Alligator mississippiensis: one gene and its partner. The protein of the gene in region 1 purifies or fractionates together with the protein of each later gene. This does not show direct contact. Links are inferred from orthologs where the notes say so. Each region holds a gene or a part of one and is shown on either strand. Other genes may lie near its edges.

The links.
Region 2: the proteins of PPP4C (region 1) and DHX38 purify together in Homo sapiens (affinity purification with mass spectrometry; 5 studies listed by BioGRID and IntAct, with this or other methods). This does not show direct contact. The link is inferred for Alligator mississippiensis from reciprocal best matches to the Homo sapiens genes PPP4C and DHX38.

The regions. Positions count from the first base shown.
Region 1 is NC_081830.1:230,675-237,743, forward strand, and holds the start of PPP4C (serine/threonine-protein phosphatase 4 catalytic subunit), read right to left. Parts: upstream 3,013-7,069; 5' UTR 2,902-3,012; intron 2,666-2,901; 5' UTR 2,664-2,665; coding exon 2,566-2,663; intron 1,977-2,565; coding exon 1,925-1,976; intron 1,828-1,924; coding exon 1,777-1,827; intron 1,703-1,776; coding exon 1,601-1,702; intron 876-1,600; coding exon 702-875; intron 541-701; coding exon 414-540; intron 194-413; coding exon 4-193; intron 1-3. Other genes in the region: ALDOA (fructose-bisphosphate aldolase A), read right to left, coding at 3,819-3,914, 4,044-4,243, 4,486-4,660, 4,821-4,904, 5,103-5,263, 5,379-5,433, 5,612-5,823, 5,966-6,077. UniProt on the Homo sapiens protein: Protein phosphatase that is involved in many processes such as microtubule organization at centrosomes, maturation of spliceosomal snRNPs, apoptosis, DNA repair, tumor necrosis factor (TNF)-alpha signaling, activation of c-Jun N-terminal kinase MAPK8, regulation of histone acetylation, DNA damage checkpoint signaling, NF-kappa-B activation and cell migration.
Region 2 is NC_081833.1:77,516,843-77,524,395, reverse strand, and holds the start of DHX38 (pre-mRNA-splicing factor ATP-dependent RNA helicase PRP16), read left to right. Parts: upstream 1-4,548; 5' UTR 4,549-4,568; coding exon 4,569-4,987; intron 4,988-5,069; coding exon 5,070-5,263; intron 5,264-5,333; coding exon 5,334-5,444; intron 5,445-5,741; coding exon 5,742-5,901; intron 5,902-6,083; coding exon 6,084-6,202; intron 6,203-6,339; coding exon 6,340-6,416; intron 6,417-7,123; coding exon 7,124-7,279; intron 7,280-7,553. Other genes in the region: haptoglobin, read left to right, coding at 1,668-1,857, 2,519-3,363. UniProt on the Homo sapiens protein: Probable ATP-binding RNA helicase. Involved in pre-mRNA splicing as component of the spliceosome.

The DNA of each region.
Region 1 (7,069 bases):
CACCTGTAGCAGTAGTTGGGGGCCGACCAGACTGTGAGCACAGTCTCATTGAAATGCCACTTGTAACCCTCCATGACGAGCTGGTGTGCTCGGCAGATCATGTCGATGTCGTTGGATGCGTTGAACTGGGCCACCACATCACTGCCAAACAGGTAGCCGGCCCCCCGCGGGCTCACGCCCCAGCCCGTCGTGTCTGCAAGGCAGGGACAAGGCCCGTTATGTGTGGCCACTAGCACCACCCACCCCAGAGCCAGCTGCATGGCAGGGTGCTGTTACAGCCAGCTGCCAGCACCACCCACCTGCAAGCTGCTCGCATCACTGGGCTGACCAAGCCCTCTTGGGCAGCATCACAGCCTGCTGTTCCCATCTGCCCCACCCCAGAGCTGGCTGCATTGCTGCCCCCTCCATTGTACCTTCAGGGTCAGACCAGAGCAGGTCACACATGGGGCCGTCGTGGGGCACCTCCTGCTTGCGGTCGATTGTGCGGATCTGGTCCAGCGTCTGGATCGAGGGCGACAGTCCCCCATGCACGCAGAAGATCTGAGAGGGCAGGGAAGAGGGGGCATGGGTCAGGCAGGGGAATCCCAGACCAGAGGCTAAACCATTGCCCGCTGGAAAACCCAAGTGTCCAGGCTCCCACTGTTCAGCCCCCTGCTCTTCCCCCACAGGGAACCCAGGTCTCTGGGAGCGGGGTGGGGCACCTTGCCGTCGATGATGGCTGAGAGGCTGAGGTAGTCGAAGATCTCGGTGCAGTAGCGCCACACAGTGACGGAGCCGTACTTGCGCAGACACTCATCATAGAAGCCATAGACCTGCGTGATCTGCCGGCTCTCATGGTTGCCGCGGATCAGCGTGATCCGGTCTGGGTACCGCACCTGTGGAGGCCATGGGGGGGGGGGTTTACACTTGGCCACCAGCACATCCCACCCCAGAGCTGGCTGCTTTCTGCAGCCTGTTACACTCGGCTACCAACGTGCCCCACCCAGAGCCATCTGCAGTGCTCAGGCCTGCAGGCAGCTGGTTCTAGGGTGGGACGCATTGTAGTCAGCTGCCAGTATGTCCCACTCCAAAACCGGCTGACAGCAGATGAGTACAGGAGAGCTGAACAATGCAGCTGACTCTAGGGTAGAGCAAGTCAGCAGCTGAGTATAACAGGCCCAAGTGCTGTAGCTGGATCTGGGGTGGGATGCGTCAGGGGCCAAGTATAACATCCCACCCTACAGCCCGCAGCACTGTTCAGCCCTATTATACCCGGCTTCACCCACACCCCCACAAAACCAGCTGCACCGCCCAGGCCTCTTATACTTGGCCACTTAAACACCAGGCCCCAGAGGTAGCTGCAACGCTGGCCCCTGTGGTACCTGGCTGCTGCCACAGGATGCTTCAACCCCAGGCCCAGCCGCCTCAGTGCCTGTGACACCCTAGAGCCAGCTCCAGCCTGAGGGCACAAGTCTTCCTGTCCCCAGTGGGGCCCAGCCCAGAGCCGGCTGCATCCGTCCCCCAAGCCTCCCCTGCCAGCTACCCCCTGCAGCCGCCCTGCCCCAGAGCATGCCAACCCCAGTTGTGTGCCCAGTGCCCTGGGGGGGCTGGGGGCATCTACCTTGAGCGCCAGCAGGAGCAGGAAGGTCTCGACGCTGTAGAAGCCGCGGTCCACAAAATCCCCCATGAAGAGGTAGTTGGTCTCGGGGACGTCGCCGCCCACCTGGGGGGCAGCAGGGGTAAGGGGGGGCCTGCAGTGGGGGGGGCAGGGTGGAGTTTGTGGGGGGCAGGACTCACCCGGAAGAGCTCTTTGAGGTCATAAAACTGTCCGTGGATGTCACCGCAGACCTGGGGGGGGCAAGGGGGGGGGGTGAGACAGGGCAGCCCTGATGCCCTCTGGCCTAGACCCTCCTGGCCCAGGGACCCCTGCCCAAGCCCCGCTCACCGTCACTGGGGAGTCCACCCGCTGCACGTTGCTCTCCTCCACCAGGATCTCCCTAGGCAGGGAGAGGCAGGGACACCAGTTATTCATGGCCTTTGCCCCCGTGTCCCCCAGAGCCAGCGCCCCGCGGGGCCCGTCCTGCCCCCGTGTCCCCCAGAGCCAGCGCCCCGCGGGGCCCGTCCTGCCCCCGTGTCCCCCACAGCCAGCGCCCCGCGGGGCCCGTCCTGCCCCCGTGTCCCCCACAGCCAGCGCCCCGCGGGGCCCGTCCTGCCCCCGTGTCCCCCACAGCCAGCGCCCCGCGGGGCCCGTCCTGCCCCCGTGTCCCCCACAGCCAGCGCCCCGCGGGGCCCGTCCTGCCCCCGTGTCCCCCACAGCCAGCGCCCCGCGGGGCCCGTCCTGCCCCCGTGTCCCCCACAGCCAGCGCCCCGCGGGGCCCGTCCTGCCCCCGTGTCCCCCACAGCCAGCGCCCCGCGGGGCCCGTCCTGCCGCCCCAGAGCTCTGTTCTATGCAGACAGCAGCCGGGCCCCCCAGAGCCAGCCGCACTGCGCGAGCTCTTGACCCGAGCCCCGGTGCGGGCTCCCCAGAGGCGGCTGCGATGCAGGATCCCCCTTACGCGGCGCCCCCAGCCCTGCCGCCCCGCTCACCGGGCCTTGGCGCACAGGGCCTTGACCTCGCTCTCCTTGATGAGCTCGCAGCGCCGCAGCTGCTCGATCTGCCGGTCCAGGTCGCTCAGCTCCGCCATGGCTGGGGGGCAACGCGGGGTCGGGGTGAGCGCGGCCCGGGCCCCCGCGCAGGGCCCCACAAGCACCCCCGGCCCCGCACGCTACCCAGGAGCTGCCCCCAGGCCACGCTGGCCCAAGCTGCCCCCGGAACCGGCCCCCACAGCCTGACCCGCCCCGGGGGCCCCGGAACTGCACCCCCCCCGGCCCGGATCCTTGCCGCTGCGACGCCAGCATATGCACCACCCCCCCCCCCCGCACCTGGTCCCGGCGGCGGCCCCGCGTCGCACCGGTTCCCACCGCTCGTGGCCCCGCCCCCGCCGGCGCGACGTCACGTCCGGACACCCCCCTTCCTCCACAACCGGAAGGAGGAAGGCCTGAGAGACGGGCGGGAAGTGACGCATTTGGGACGTCTAAGGGAAGAAAGAAAAGGTGAGGGACAGGAAGCGACGTCACGGTGAGGGCGGAAGTAACGGTAAAAGCGTATGCTACGCAAACAGCCAGAATGAAGTGTAGGGCCGGGCGGAACTGACGTGTAGAGCCGAAATGCCACGGGAAATGAGGGGGCGCATGATGAATGACATCAGAGCCAGGGCGGAAGTGCTACCCAGGCACCCGTCACGGGGCGGAAGTGGCGGGGAAGGGGAGCGAGGGATGGGCGAAGGTGATGTCACCCGAGCGTGGATTCCTGTGCCCTAGGCCGAGCATGTGACGTCAGCAAGCAGGGGCCTGTGCCAGGACAGGCTACTCGGGCAGGGACATGCATTCCCTCTGCTGCGGTCACGTGTGGGGGACACAGGCCAGAACCCTGCCCCCCCCCCACCCTGGCTCCTTTCCCCTCCTGGGGGCCAGAGGGGCCCACGGCCTAGACCCCCGAAACCCGCACCCCCGAGGCCCAGGAGCACAGGACACATATCTTCATGAATTCATTTTATTCAGTAACTCAGTGTAGTTAGGGCCTCGCCCGCCCCCACCCGGAGACCGGGCAGCTGGAGGGGGGGCGGGAGCCGGAAGTGTTGCTCACCAGGGGGAGGGGGAGGGGGGGAGGGGCCGCCCGGAGGCCGGGGTTCTTGTGCCCGCTGGTCTCTGCCCCAGTCGGGTCCAGGTGAATATAGTTGCAGCCCAAGTTGGGAAGGGGATGGGGGAGGGGCGGGGGGCAGGCAGGGTGGAGCCGCAGCCTAGTAGGCATGGTTGGAAACGAAGAGAGACTCCTTGGAGGCAGCACCGGCCTGGCCGCTGCCGGCGTACTTGCCCTGGCAGGCGAGGCTGTTGGCCTGCAGAGAGACGGACAGACAAGACAGGTCAGAGCAGCACAAAAAACCCAGCGTCCAGGCTCCCCTCCCCCACCCCCTCTGCAAGTCAGAGGTCACTCTCCCCCCGCCGCGGGCCAGGTCAGTACGCACCAGAGCGCGCTTGACGTACTCCTCCTGGGCCGCCTTGGTGTTCTCCTTCTTGCCGCCCCAGGCCTTGAGGGCTGAAGCCTGCAGCGCCCGCCCGTAGGAGAAGGTCAGGGCCCAGGGCTTGTGCAGGGGGCACTTGTTGATGGCATTGAGGTTCAGAGACGCCTCCTCCTCGCTCTGCCCCCCGGACAGGAAGGTGATACCTGTGAAGGGGGAGGGAGTCAGTGCCGGCGTGACACAGTGCTCGCGGGGTTAACAGGCTGGGCTGGAGCAGGGGACCCTGGGCATAGGCACAGCACCCAGGGGGTTAATGGGCAAGGGGGTGGAGTCAAGGAGATGGTGGAGCCTCCCCTACCCTGGCTTGCATGCCCAGAGCATGGCTGTCAGGGGTGAGATAGGGAGCAGGGCCACAGGGGGTGAAGCCAGGGGCAGGCCCAGGTCTCACCGGGCACAGCAGGTGGCACGGTGCGGCGCAGCGCGGTGATGGTAGCCATGGCGATCTCCTCATGGCTGTACTTGGTGGTGCAGGCGTGCCCAGGTGTCACCATGTTGGGCTTCAGCAGTGACCCCTCCAGGTAGACATGGTGGTCACTCAGCGCCTTGTACACAGCCGCCAGCACCTGGGGGGGGGCAGGACTGGTCAGCACACCACCCACATCCACTGCTGCATCTTCCCTCCAGCTCCTCCAAGAGGCGGGGCTCCTTCTGGCCACACCCCCCAAAGATCTCCCACCTCCCAGCCTCTGGTAAGTGCCCCCTCACTGCAGTGACCCCTCTCACCTTCTCGGTGACGTGCTGGCAGCGCTTCAGGTCATGGTCGCCATCGGGGAGGATCTCGGGCTCCACGATGGGCACAATGCCGTTCTAGAAGGACATGGGGGGAGGTCGGGATGAGCCTGTTAGCCCTGACCCCAACCCCCAGCCCCACCTACAGCCCCTCTAGCCCCACCTGCTGGCAGATGCTGCCTGTGCCCTTCTGGCTCTGCCCTCAGTCTTAGCCCCACCCCCTGCTAGCTCCTGGGAGAGGAAGTAGCCCTGCCCCCAGCCCTGCCCCACGGCCACCTGCTGGCAGATGCTGGCGTAGCGGGCCAGCACATTGGCATTCTCCAGGATGGCGAGGCGTGAGGGCGTGTGGGGCCCGATCTTGAGCACGCAGCGCCACTTGGCGAAGTCGGCCCCATCCTTCTTGTACTGGGCACAGCGCTCAGAAAGCCCGTCCAGGCCTGGGGAGGGGGATGAGGCTCAGGACCCAGGCATTTGGGGAAAACCCCGCAGACATGCCTGTCCTGCCAGATGCAACCACTCCCAGCCCCGAGACCCTGGTGTCCAGGCACTCACCTTGGGTGGTGGTCTCCCCATCGGTCCCGGCCAGGGCCACCACGCCCTTGTCCACCTGCGGTGGGGGAGAGGGAACCTCATCAGTACTGCCCCGACCCCTGGCCTCCACTCCTCACTCCTGCACCCCAACTACCAGGTTCAAGGTAAAAGCCTCCTGAGACCTCCAACCCCGGCCCCCTCCCCCCCCCCCAATAGTCCCCATGACCACCTTGCCCACCCCCCCGGGGGCCTACCTTGATACCAACAACGCCGCCCTTGGCCTTGATGACCTGGGGGAAGGTGCGCCCATCGTCGGCCTTCTGGTAGAGGGTCTCGTGGAAGAGGATGACGCCGCCAATGCAGGGATCCACGCGCGCGTCGGCCGTGAAGAGCAGCTGCCGGTACCAGCGCCGGTTCTCCTCGGTGTTCTCTGCCCCGATGGAGCTCAGGCGCTTGGCGATGCTGCCTGCAGGGGGGCGGGTGGGGGTTAACACAGGGGGCCCTGCAGTGCCCCGTGCCTCCCACTCCCGCCCCGCAGCCCCCCCCCCCCGTGCCCCACACTCCCGCCCCGCAGCCCCCCCCCCGTGCCCTGCACTCCCGCCCCGCACCGGTGGACTCATCGGCGGCCAGGATGCCCTTGCCGGGCGCCACGATGCGGTGGGCGATGTCCGCCAGCTCCTTCTTCTGCTCGGGCGTCAGGGCCGGGTGCGGGTGCGGCATCTTGGCGGCTGCGGGAGCGCAGGGGTTACGCGCGGGACGTGCGGCGCGCGGCCTTCCGCATGGCCGCTTCCGGCCCCCCCTGGGCGGGACCCGGGCGTCGGGGGGGGGTCGTGGCCGCGGGTGGGGGCAAGTGTCCGGGGGGGTCGTGTGCCCGGGGCGCGGGCGGGACCGAGGGGGCCGGGGCGGGAGGGGGGGCGATGGCAGCCCCCGGGCCCGCGTGCCCGAGCTCCGCGCGGCGGTGCCGGGAGTCAAGGTCGCTCCAAGGGCGGGGGGGGCAGGGAGCCAGGCGCCCGGCCCAGCAGCGCCCCCCCGGCGCTTCCCCCCACCCCGACGCCCCCCCCCCGGCCCGAAGCCCCCCCGGCCCGACGCCCCCCCCAAGCCAACCTGCGGCAGCGGCGGCGGCGGGATCGACTGCGCTGCCGCGTGGGGCTGCGGCGGGCTAGGGGCTGGGGGCGGGGCGCCGCGCCGACGTCACGCGCGGGCGCGGCCGGGGGGCCACGCCCCTGCTGCCCCCGGGGCTGCCCTGGGGCTCCCCCACGCCGTGCCCCGCCCGCGCAGTGACGTCCCGGGGGCGGGGCCTGGGAGGCTCTGGGGTTGCGTCACTGCACCCCCCGGCCCGCCGCGCGTGGGTTTCGCGCTGACCTTTGCGGGGGAAACCCGATCCCCGCCAAGGGCGCCGCGGGGCCCGCGCTCGCGGCCTGCCCCCGCCGCCCCGGCCCCGTGCCCCCGCCGCCCCGCAACGCCCCCACCTACAGCCCCGCTATGGCGCCTGCCCCGCGGCCCCAGGCCGCCCCGGCGCTGCCCCACGTCCGCCCCAACCCCCCTGGACACCGCCCCAGCGCCCTGCAGACAGGGCCCTCCTGCCCGCCCCCCCGTGCCCGAGCACGAGCCCGAGCCCCGCCGTGGGCCGCCCCTCACCTGGCGGGCGGGCGGGCGGGGCAGGGTCTGGTGGCAGTGCCGGGCGGCCGGTGCGGGGGCTGCGGGCGACCCCC
Region 2 (7,553 bases), on another chromosome or scaffold:
GGCCCTGCCCTGAGCTGCTACCTCTGGTATTGTCCTCAGTGCTCAGCTGTCTTTCCCTGGGCTGGGGTCTCTTGGGCCTGGCCCTGTGTGGGGCTGGTGGTATCTCCCCAGCTCGGGGGCTGCATAGGGTCTCTGCCTCCTGCCATTAAACTTGGTGCTTGCTCACTCCATGGGCCTCATCCTTCCTTTGCTGCTGCTCCATGCCTTCCCTGGGCCCTGTGCTCGTGGCTCAGCAATGGGGAGGAGGGGGGCCCGCATGGGCCTGGCAAGGAGATCCCTGAGCAGGAAGGACGGGGGCCCTGGCATGGCATCTGAGGGGCTCTCCTACTTTCCTGCTTCTGCTGCGAGGGGGGTGGGCAGGCCTGTGCCCTCTATCCGGTGCCGACGGGCTGCGGGTCAGCACTTCCCCAGGCGCTGGTTCCGTGTGCGAACGGCTGCTCGTAGCGCAGGGGCCTGGTGGGAGCTCTGCCTGTTGCAGGCTGCGTCGGCCTGGTGGGCCTCAGCTGAACACGGACAGGCCAGGTCTGCTCCACCTGCGGTCAGCACAGGGCAGTTGGGTGAAGGGGGCTGGGATGCAGCCCATGCTCAGCTCCGCACAGCTGCTGTCGTGCTGCCCTTGGGGTGTGAGACGCCCCAGCCCCAGCAGGCTCCCACCCGGCTGTAGGCTCTGTCGTGGCCTTGACCAGGAGCTTGCTGTGGGCAAAGGAGCTGCCCTTTCCCTGCGCTACCTTGCCCAGTTCCCCAGCCCCCAGGCATAACCACCTCTAGCCTGGTTTGAGCTGTGGTTGCTGCCTCTTTCAGCCTATCCCAGCTGGCCTGGACTCCATCTGCACTGGCCCAGGGCTCCTGGAGCTTGTTTCCACATCCCTTCCTTGCTGCAAGCCCTGGATCCACTGTCCTTTTTGCCGCCGGGTGATCACTGGAGCCACAAGACCCCCGCCACACAAGGCCAGGGGTGCTGCACCAAGCCCCCAGCCCTATTGGGCTGCAGGGATGGTGCCACAGGGCAGAGGCGGAGGGATGGGCCCTGGCACAGAGCACTGCGCCAAGGCTTCCTGGCAGCCCCTGTGCCAGGTGAGCCCTGCAGCTGCGGCAAAACAGCACCAGCTGCCCCAGACCGTTTGGCACCCAGTAGGGGAAGGGATGGGAACATCCTTGCGCTATAGTTCCCAGAGCAGACAAAGGGAAGAGCACCTCCCCCCATTCCCCTGTGCGGCCAAAAATCACTCTTTTGCCAGTTCCCAAAATGAGCACAGCACGTCCCGATCTGAGCAAACGCCAGACTGGGGCCAGCTGAGCCGGGTGCAGGGGAACAAGGACATGCCTATTGCAGCCCCCTTGCCCCCGGCCTGGGACCCTGGGCTGGCAGTGGGGCAGGCTGGGCTGTGGGTGCCCCTGTCCTTAGCAAGCAGACATCCTCTCCCAGGGCCCTCACTGACCCTGTGGTTCTACCATGAGGAGACCACTCTGGAGGTGTTGAGGGTGGGCTCACCTCCGGGCCCTGCCAGCTGGGCACAGGGCTGAGCTACTGCACCCTTCCTGGACCTGCTGTGCAGCCAGGCGTGGTGGCAAGGGGCCTGGCCTGGTCATGCTCCCAGCTCGGTGCAGAGGAGAGATCTGAACCCAGGTTTCCCAACCATCCCACCCCCCCGGGTCCCCTTTGCCCCATGCATCAATTCCGGGCAGTGCCAGGGTGCTGCAAGCACCTGGGCAGCTGGCCACATGTTTGTTTGTGGCTCACTGCTGGGAAGGTCACTGCCCGGGCAAGGCTGCATTGGGGGATAAAGGCAGCGTGGAGGGAGCCCCCCTGCACAGGCAGCCGCAGCAGCCAGAAGAACAGCAAGCCACAGCTATGGGGTGAGTGCTGCAGCTGCTCTGGGGCCCAGGGGATAGGGTCTTCAGCTGCTGGGGCCGCGGGAGGGTGTGGTAGGCACTGGGGGAGGCTAGGACATGTGCTTTAGGCAGTAAGCGACTTCCTGGAACAACTGCGCCCCAGCCGTGGCACTGCTGTGGGGAAGCCTGCAGCACTGTGCCTCAGCAGGTTACAGTGGGCTGAGCAAGCCCCAAGCTCACGGGACCCAGGGGACGGGAGGATTCTCAGCCCGACACCAAGGGCCCGGCAGCTCTGCTCACACAGCTCTTCTCACAGAGCCCCGATGCTGCTGATCGCCACTTTGGTGTGGGGGGTGCTTGCCACCGCCAGCGAGGGCCCAGACACACAAGGTAGGGGCAGGGGCCTTGGCGGGAAGGGGCTGGGCTGGGTAGGAGGACTTGTCTGCCCCACCGGCCAGCGCTGCCAGGTGAGCCCGGGGGGTCGGGGCAGGGGCTGCCCAGCATCTGTGGGCCCGCCTCGCTGCTGCTGTCACTGTGGGGTGCAGTGGAGCGGATCCACTCCCGGAGGGGCTGCTGCCTGTCCCCAGTGTCCCCTGCTGGGACCTGGCAGTGCAGGAAGGAGGGTGCCTGGGGGGCCGTGGGGGCCATGTGCCAGCTGCAGCTGACGCCGGTGCTTGCCCCGCAGCGTGCGGGAAACCCAAGAACTCGCCGCAGCCGTTGCAGCGCATCATCGGTGGCCGTATGTCCGGCAAGGGCCTGTTCCCGTGGCAGGGCCGGCTGGTGTCGCCACACAACCTCACGGCAGGGGCCACGCTCATCAGTGACCAGTGGGTGCTGACCACAGCCAGGAACGTCTACCTGGGGCAAAACGCATGCGCCAGCCCTGAGGACATCGCCCCCACCCTGAAGCTCTTCCTGGGCAACAGGGGACAACTGCCCGCGGGCGCCGTGGAGCGTGTGGTGCTGCACCCCAACTTCAACTCCACCGACTGCAACGCCACCTCCCACTGCAACGCCACCTCCAACTGCAACGCCACCTCCAACTGCCACGCTGCCCCCGGCACCGGCACCGACCTGGCACTGCTCAAGCTGCAGCACCCAGCGCCGCTGGGGCCTGAGGTGCTGCCCATCTGCCTGCCGCAAAAGGACTTTCTGGAGGTGGGGCGCGTGGGCTACGTGGCAGGCTGGGGCAGGGGCGCCACCCTGGCCTTCGCCGAGTGGCTGCGCTACATCATGGTGCCCGTGGCTGACACCAGCCTCTGCGCCAAGTACTACGCGGACGGTGGCCCCATCGGCGTGGCGCCCGACCTGGGCCCCGACAGCTTCTGCGTGGGCATGAGCAAGCTGCGTGAGGACACCTGCCACGGGGACGCCGGCGGCGCCTTCGCCGTGCACGACCCCGACGACGACACGTGGTATGCGGCCGGCATCCTCACCTACGACCGCACCTGCTCCGCCGCCAAGTACAGCGTCTACGCCAGCGTGCAGCACGCCCTGGCCTGGATCCGCCAGACCATGGACGAATCCTAACCCCCCCACCCCCACATCGACCAATAAACCTTGTGCTCTGCCAGCCCTGCGTGGTCTCTGTGCGGGGTGGCTGGACGGGGGGGGGGGGGGGGGGGATCAAGTGCCCCGGTGCTGTGGGGGGGGGAATCAAGTGCCCCAGTGCTGTGGGGGGGGAGGAAATCAAGAGCCCCAGTGCTGCGGGGGGAGGGGGGGGGAAATCAAGTACCCCGGTGCTGCGGGGGGGGGAGGGGAAATGAAGCGCCCTGGTGCTGCGGGGGGAGGGGGGGGGAAATCAAGTGCCCCGGTGCTGCGGGGGGGGAGGGGAAATGAAGCGCCCTGGTGCTGCGGGGGGAGGGGGGGGGAAATCAAGTGCCCCGGTGCTGCGGGGGGGGGGGGGGGTGATCAAGTGCCCCGGTGCTGCGGGGGGGGAGGGGAAATGAAGCGCCCTGGTGCTGCGGGGGGAGGGGGGGGGAAATCAAGTGCCCCGGTGCTGCGGGGGGGGGGGGGGTGATCAAGTGCCCCGGTGCTGCGGGGGGGAGGGGAAATGAAGCGCCCTGGTGCTGCGGGGGGGGGGGGGGGGGAAATCAAGTGCTCCGGTGCTGCGTGGGGGGGGGGGGGAATCAAGCGCTCCGGTGCTGCGTGGGGGGGGATCAAGCGCCCCGGTGCTGCGGGGGCGGGCGGGTACCGGTGCACCGAGGCCCGGGCTCTTCCCCAGGATCGGGCGGGTCGAGGGTCAGGGGCCCGGTGGCTTCCTCCAGCCACCGGCCCCGCCCCGCCCCGCCCCTAGACTGCCCCCGGCCCCGGCCCCGCCCCCAGGTACCCCCCACATAGTCCCGTCCCCGGAACGCCGCGGCCCCACGCGACGCCCCCTGCCGACTGGGAGCGAAGGGGTGCTGCTGCCTGCGCATGCGCACTGCCAGGTACCCCCCCCCCAGGGGGCGGACCGCGCTAGGGTCCTCCCTAGTCGCCCCGCGGCCTCTGTAGTGTCGGGCCGGGCGGCCTGTTCCGTCTCTATGGTGCTGGCGGACTCCAGTGCGGGCCTCTGTACCCTCCCTCGGACTCGATGGTGTTGCGGATCCAGGCCGCGTCTCTATGGCCTTGGCTGACTGGGCCGCAGTCCTCTCTAGCCCCGCCCCGCGCTCTGTGGTGCCGGCGGACAGAGTGGCTGCATCTCTATGGTGCGGGGTGGGCAGAGCGCCGCTGCCGCGCTGCACTGTGGGGCGGGCATGGCGGCGCCGGGCGCTGAGGCGATGGCGGAGGCGGAGGCGGAGGTGGAGGAGCCGGAGCCAGAGCGGGAGCGGGAGCCAGGGCTAGAGCCAGAGCGGGAGCCGGAGCCGGAGCCGTCGCTGCACCGGCTGGAGGGCAGCGGTGCCGAGGAGGGCGGGCTGGTGCTGCGCAAGCACGGCGCGGCCGGCCCGGGCGAGCCTCACGTCTTCCGCGCGCCGCGCGCCTCCCTGCTGGGCCTCGACGTGCTGGCGGCCCGGCGGCGGCGGGAGCGCGCGGGGCCCGGGCCCGGGCCGGGGCCGGCCGAGCAGGCGAAGCGGCCGCGGGGCGCCGGGGACGGGCCGGGGCCGGAGCCGGAGGAGGAGGCGGCGGACGCGGACGCGGGCAGCGCTGGGCCCGGCCGGGGCGGCCGCAGGGACAGGTGCGGGGGGGGCGGGTGTTGCTAGGAGACGCGGGGGGGTTGCTAGGAGACGCGGGGGCCGCGCTGACGGTGCCGCCCGCAGGCACTACCGCTGCGCGCCCGCGGAGACGCCGTCGCACCCGGGCGGGGTGAGCGAGGAGTTCTGGGAGCGCAGCCGGCAGCGCGAGCGGGAGCGGCGCGAGCAGGGCGTCTTCGCCTCCTCCAAGGACGACAGGGAGCGCCGGCGCGAGCGCGGCCGCGACCGGGACCACGACCACGACCGGCAGCGGGAGCGCGGTGAGTGCTCGGCGCGGCGGGGGGGGGGGGGGCGGCTCCCGCGCGGCGCTTGACGGCGCTTTCCTTGCAGAGGAGCGCGACAGGAGCCACCACGGCAGCAGCCGCTCGGAGCGGGACGGCTGGTCCGAGAGGAGCGGCAGCAGGAGGAGCGAGCCGGAGAGCCCCCGGCATCGGCCCAAAGGTAGCGCGGGCGACGGGGACGGGGGTGGGGCGCTGGGGCGGTGGCCTGGGCCCGCTTGGAGGCGCGATCCATCCCCGCGGGGGAGCTGCAGCCCTTGGGGGAGCACGCCGCCCGCCCCGCCCCGTCTTGGGGGGCCCCACGCGGGGCTGCTGCCCCTCCCCCCACACGAGGTCCGTGCTTCAAGCGCGCCGGGGCCCTGCGTAAGCAACGCCAGGCCCGGCCTGCGCTGCCTGCGGGAGTCCCCGAGCCCGGGTGGCAGGGGCTGCGTCCGGCGTCAGAGATCCGCTCCCCTCCCAGATGCCGCCACGCCGTCCTGCTCGAGCTGGGAGGAAGATGACAGCGGCTACAGCACCTCGCGCCGCTCGCACTGGGAGTCGCCTTCACCTGCACCTTCCTGCCGGGACCGTGGCCACCGCACGCCCTCCTCGCGGGACACGGACAGGAGGGATCGGGAAAGGTGCTGGAGCGAAGCCTGGGTGGGGGCAGAGGTTGGGGCAGGCGGAGACGGTGGGGAGGGGGCAGCTTCGGGGAATGCCCCGTGGAGGTGCTGAGGGGCGGCAGGTGCCTGCCTTGCAGGAGGAGGAGGAGAGTGCTTGGGCTGCTAACCAGCAACGCTCCTCCGTGCTGGTGCTGTCCCAGGTCTGTGAGGAGCAAGTACCCAGACAGGACACCGCTTCCTACTCCTTCGTACAAGTACAATGAGTGGGCAGACGACCGCAAGCACCTGGGCTCCACGCCGCGGCTGTCTCGGGGGAAAGGTGAGGGGTAGGGAGATGGGGCTCTGGGGGCCTGACTCCTCTCACGGGAGGCACAGCCAAGAAGTTGGCTGCTTGGGCTCTCAGCAAAGGTCTGGCACTTGCGAGGGCTCCGTGCTGATCAGCTTGTTCTCCCTCAGGGAGGCGCGAGGACGGGGAGGAAGGGATTGCCTTCGAGACGGAGGAGGAGCGACAGCAGTGGGAGGATGATCAGCGGGTAAGAGCCTGGGAGGGAGGGGTGCTGCATGTCTCTGGGTCTGAGGCCCTGAGCCTGGAGCTTTGTCCCAGCGGGGTGGCACCAGGGCTGTCGGGGGAGGTGTCCCCTTGAAGCCTGCTGGGCACAGCTAGGGCCAGCATGGGTGCGTGAGGCACCAGGGCTGGTATTGCAGTAGCAGGTGCCTGCATGAGGAGAGGGGGTCGGTGCGGCATCGGCTGTGGCTTTTGGAGGAAAGGCTGAGGTGTGGGCCCTTTAGTACACTGGGATGGGGCAGGGATGGGTGGGGCGAGCAAGTGTGGCTTGGTGCAGAGCTCAGGCAGTGTGCTCATGGCGTGGGGGTGCTTGCAGCATGGGGCCCTGGGGGAGGGGCCGTCCCAGGGAACAGGAGGGGCTGGCGGCCTGCACGGGCTGCCTGGGGATGGCGGGGGTCGGCCCGCACAGGTAGCCGCCTGGGTCCTGTCCTGGGTCCTGCGCGAGCCGTTGGCTCCCCCGCGTGGCCAGCCTGGGCACAGCACCTCTGCCGTGTTTCCGTGTGGTGGCTCGGTGCAGACGTGGGACAGCCCTCTCCAGGCGCCCGGCTGCACGCTCCCGGGTTGGAAGTCCCCAGCCTCCAGGTGCCTGCGCGTGGGCAGGATGCGCAGCCTCCTGAGTCCTCCGGCTTTTCCCTTCTGCCTGCCCCTCTCCCCCTGGCTGCCACGTGTGCACAGCAAGCCGACCGGGACTGGTACATGATGGACGAGGGCTACGACGAGTTCCACAATCCCCTGGCCTACTCATCGGAAGAGTATGTGCGGAAGCGGGAGCAGCACCTTACCAAGCAGAAGCAGAAGCGCATCTCTGCACAGCGGAGGCAGATCAATGAGGTAGGAGTCGGTCCTGGGCCGGGCCAGGCTGACTCCTGGGGAGCCGGCCTCACCACCTGTTCAGCCAGTGTGTGCATGCGTGTGTATATGCACAGGGGTTGCAGCTCTGTGCTGGGTTGGGGCTGGATCGTAAGAGGATCTGCAGGTGTCGTGGATGCCTCGGCTAGGCAGACCTGGCAGTTCTGGTTCCTTGGCGGTTGGTTCTCCAGCTCCCCAGCCCTTTCTAGGGCCGTTTTCTGGATTCCTCCCTGGACCAAGATTTTCCTGCTAATGA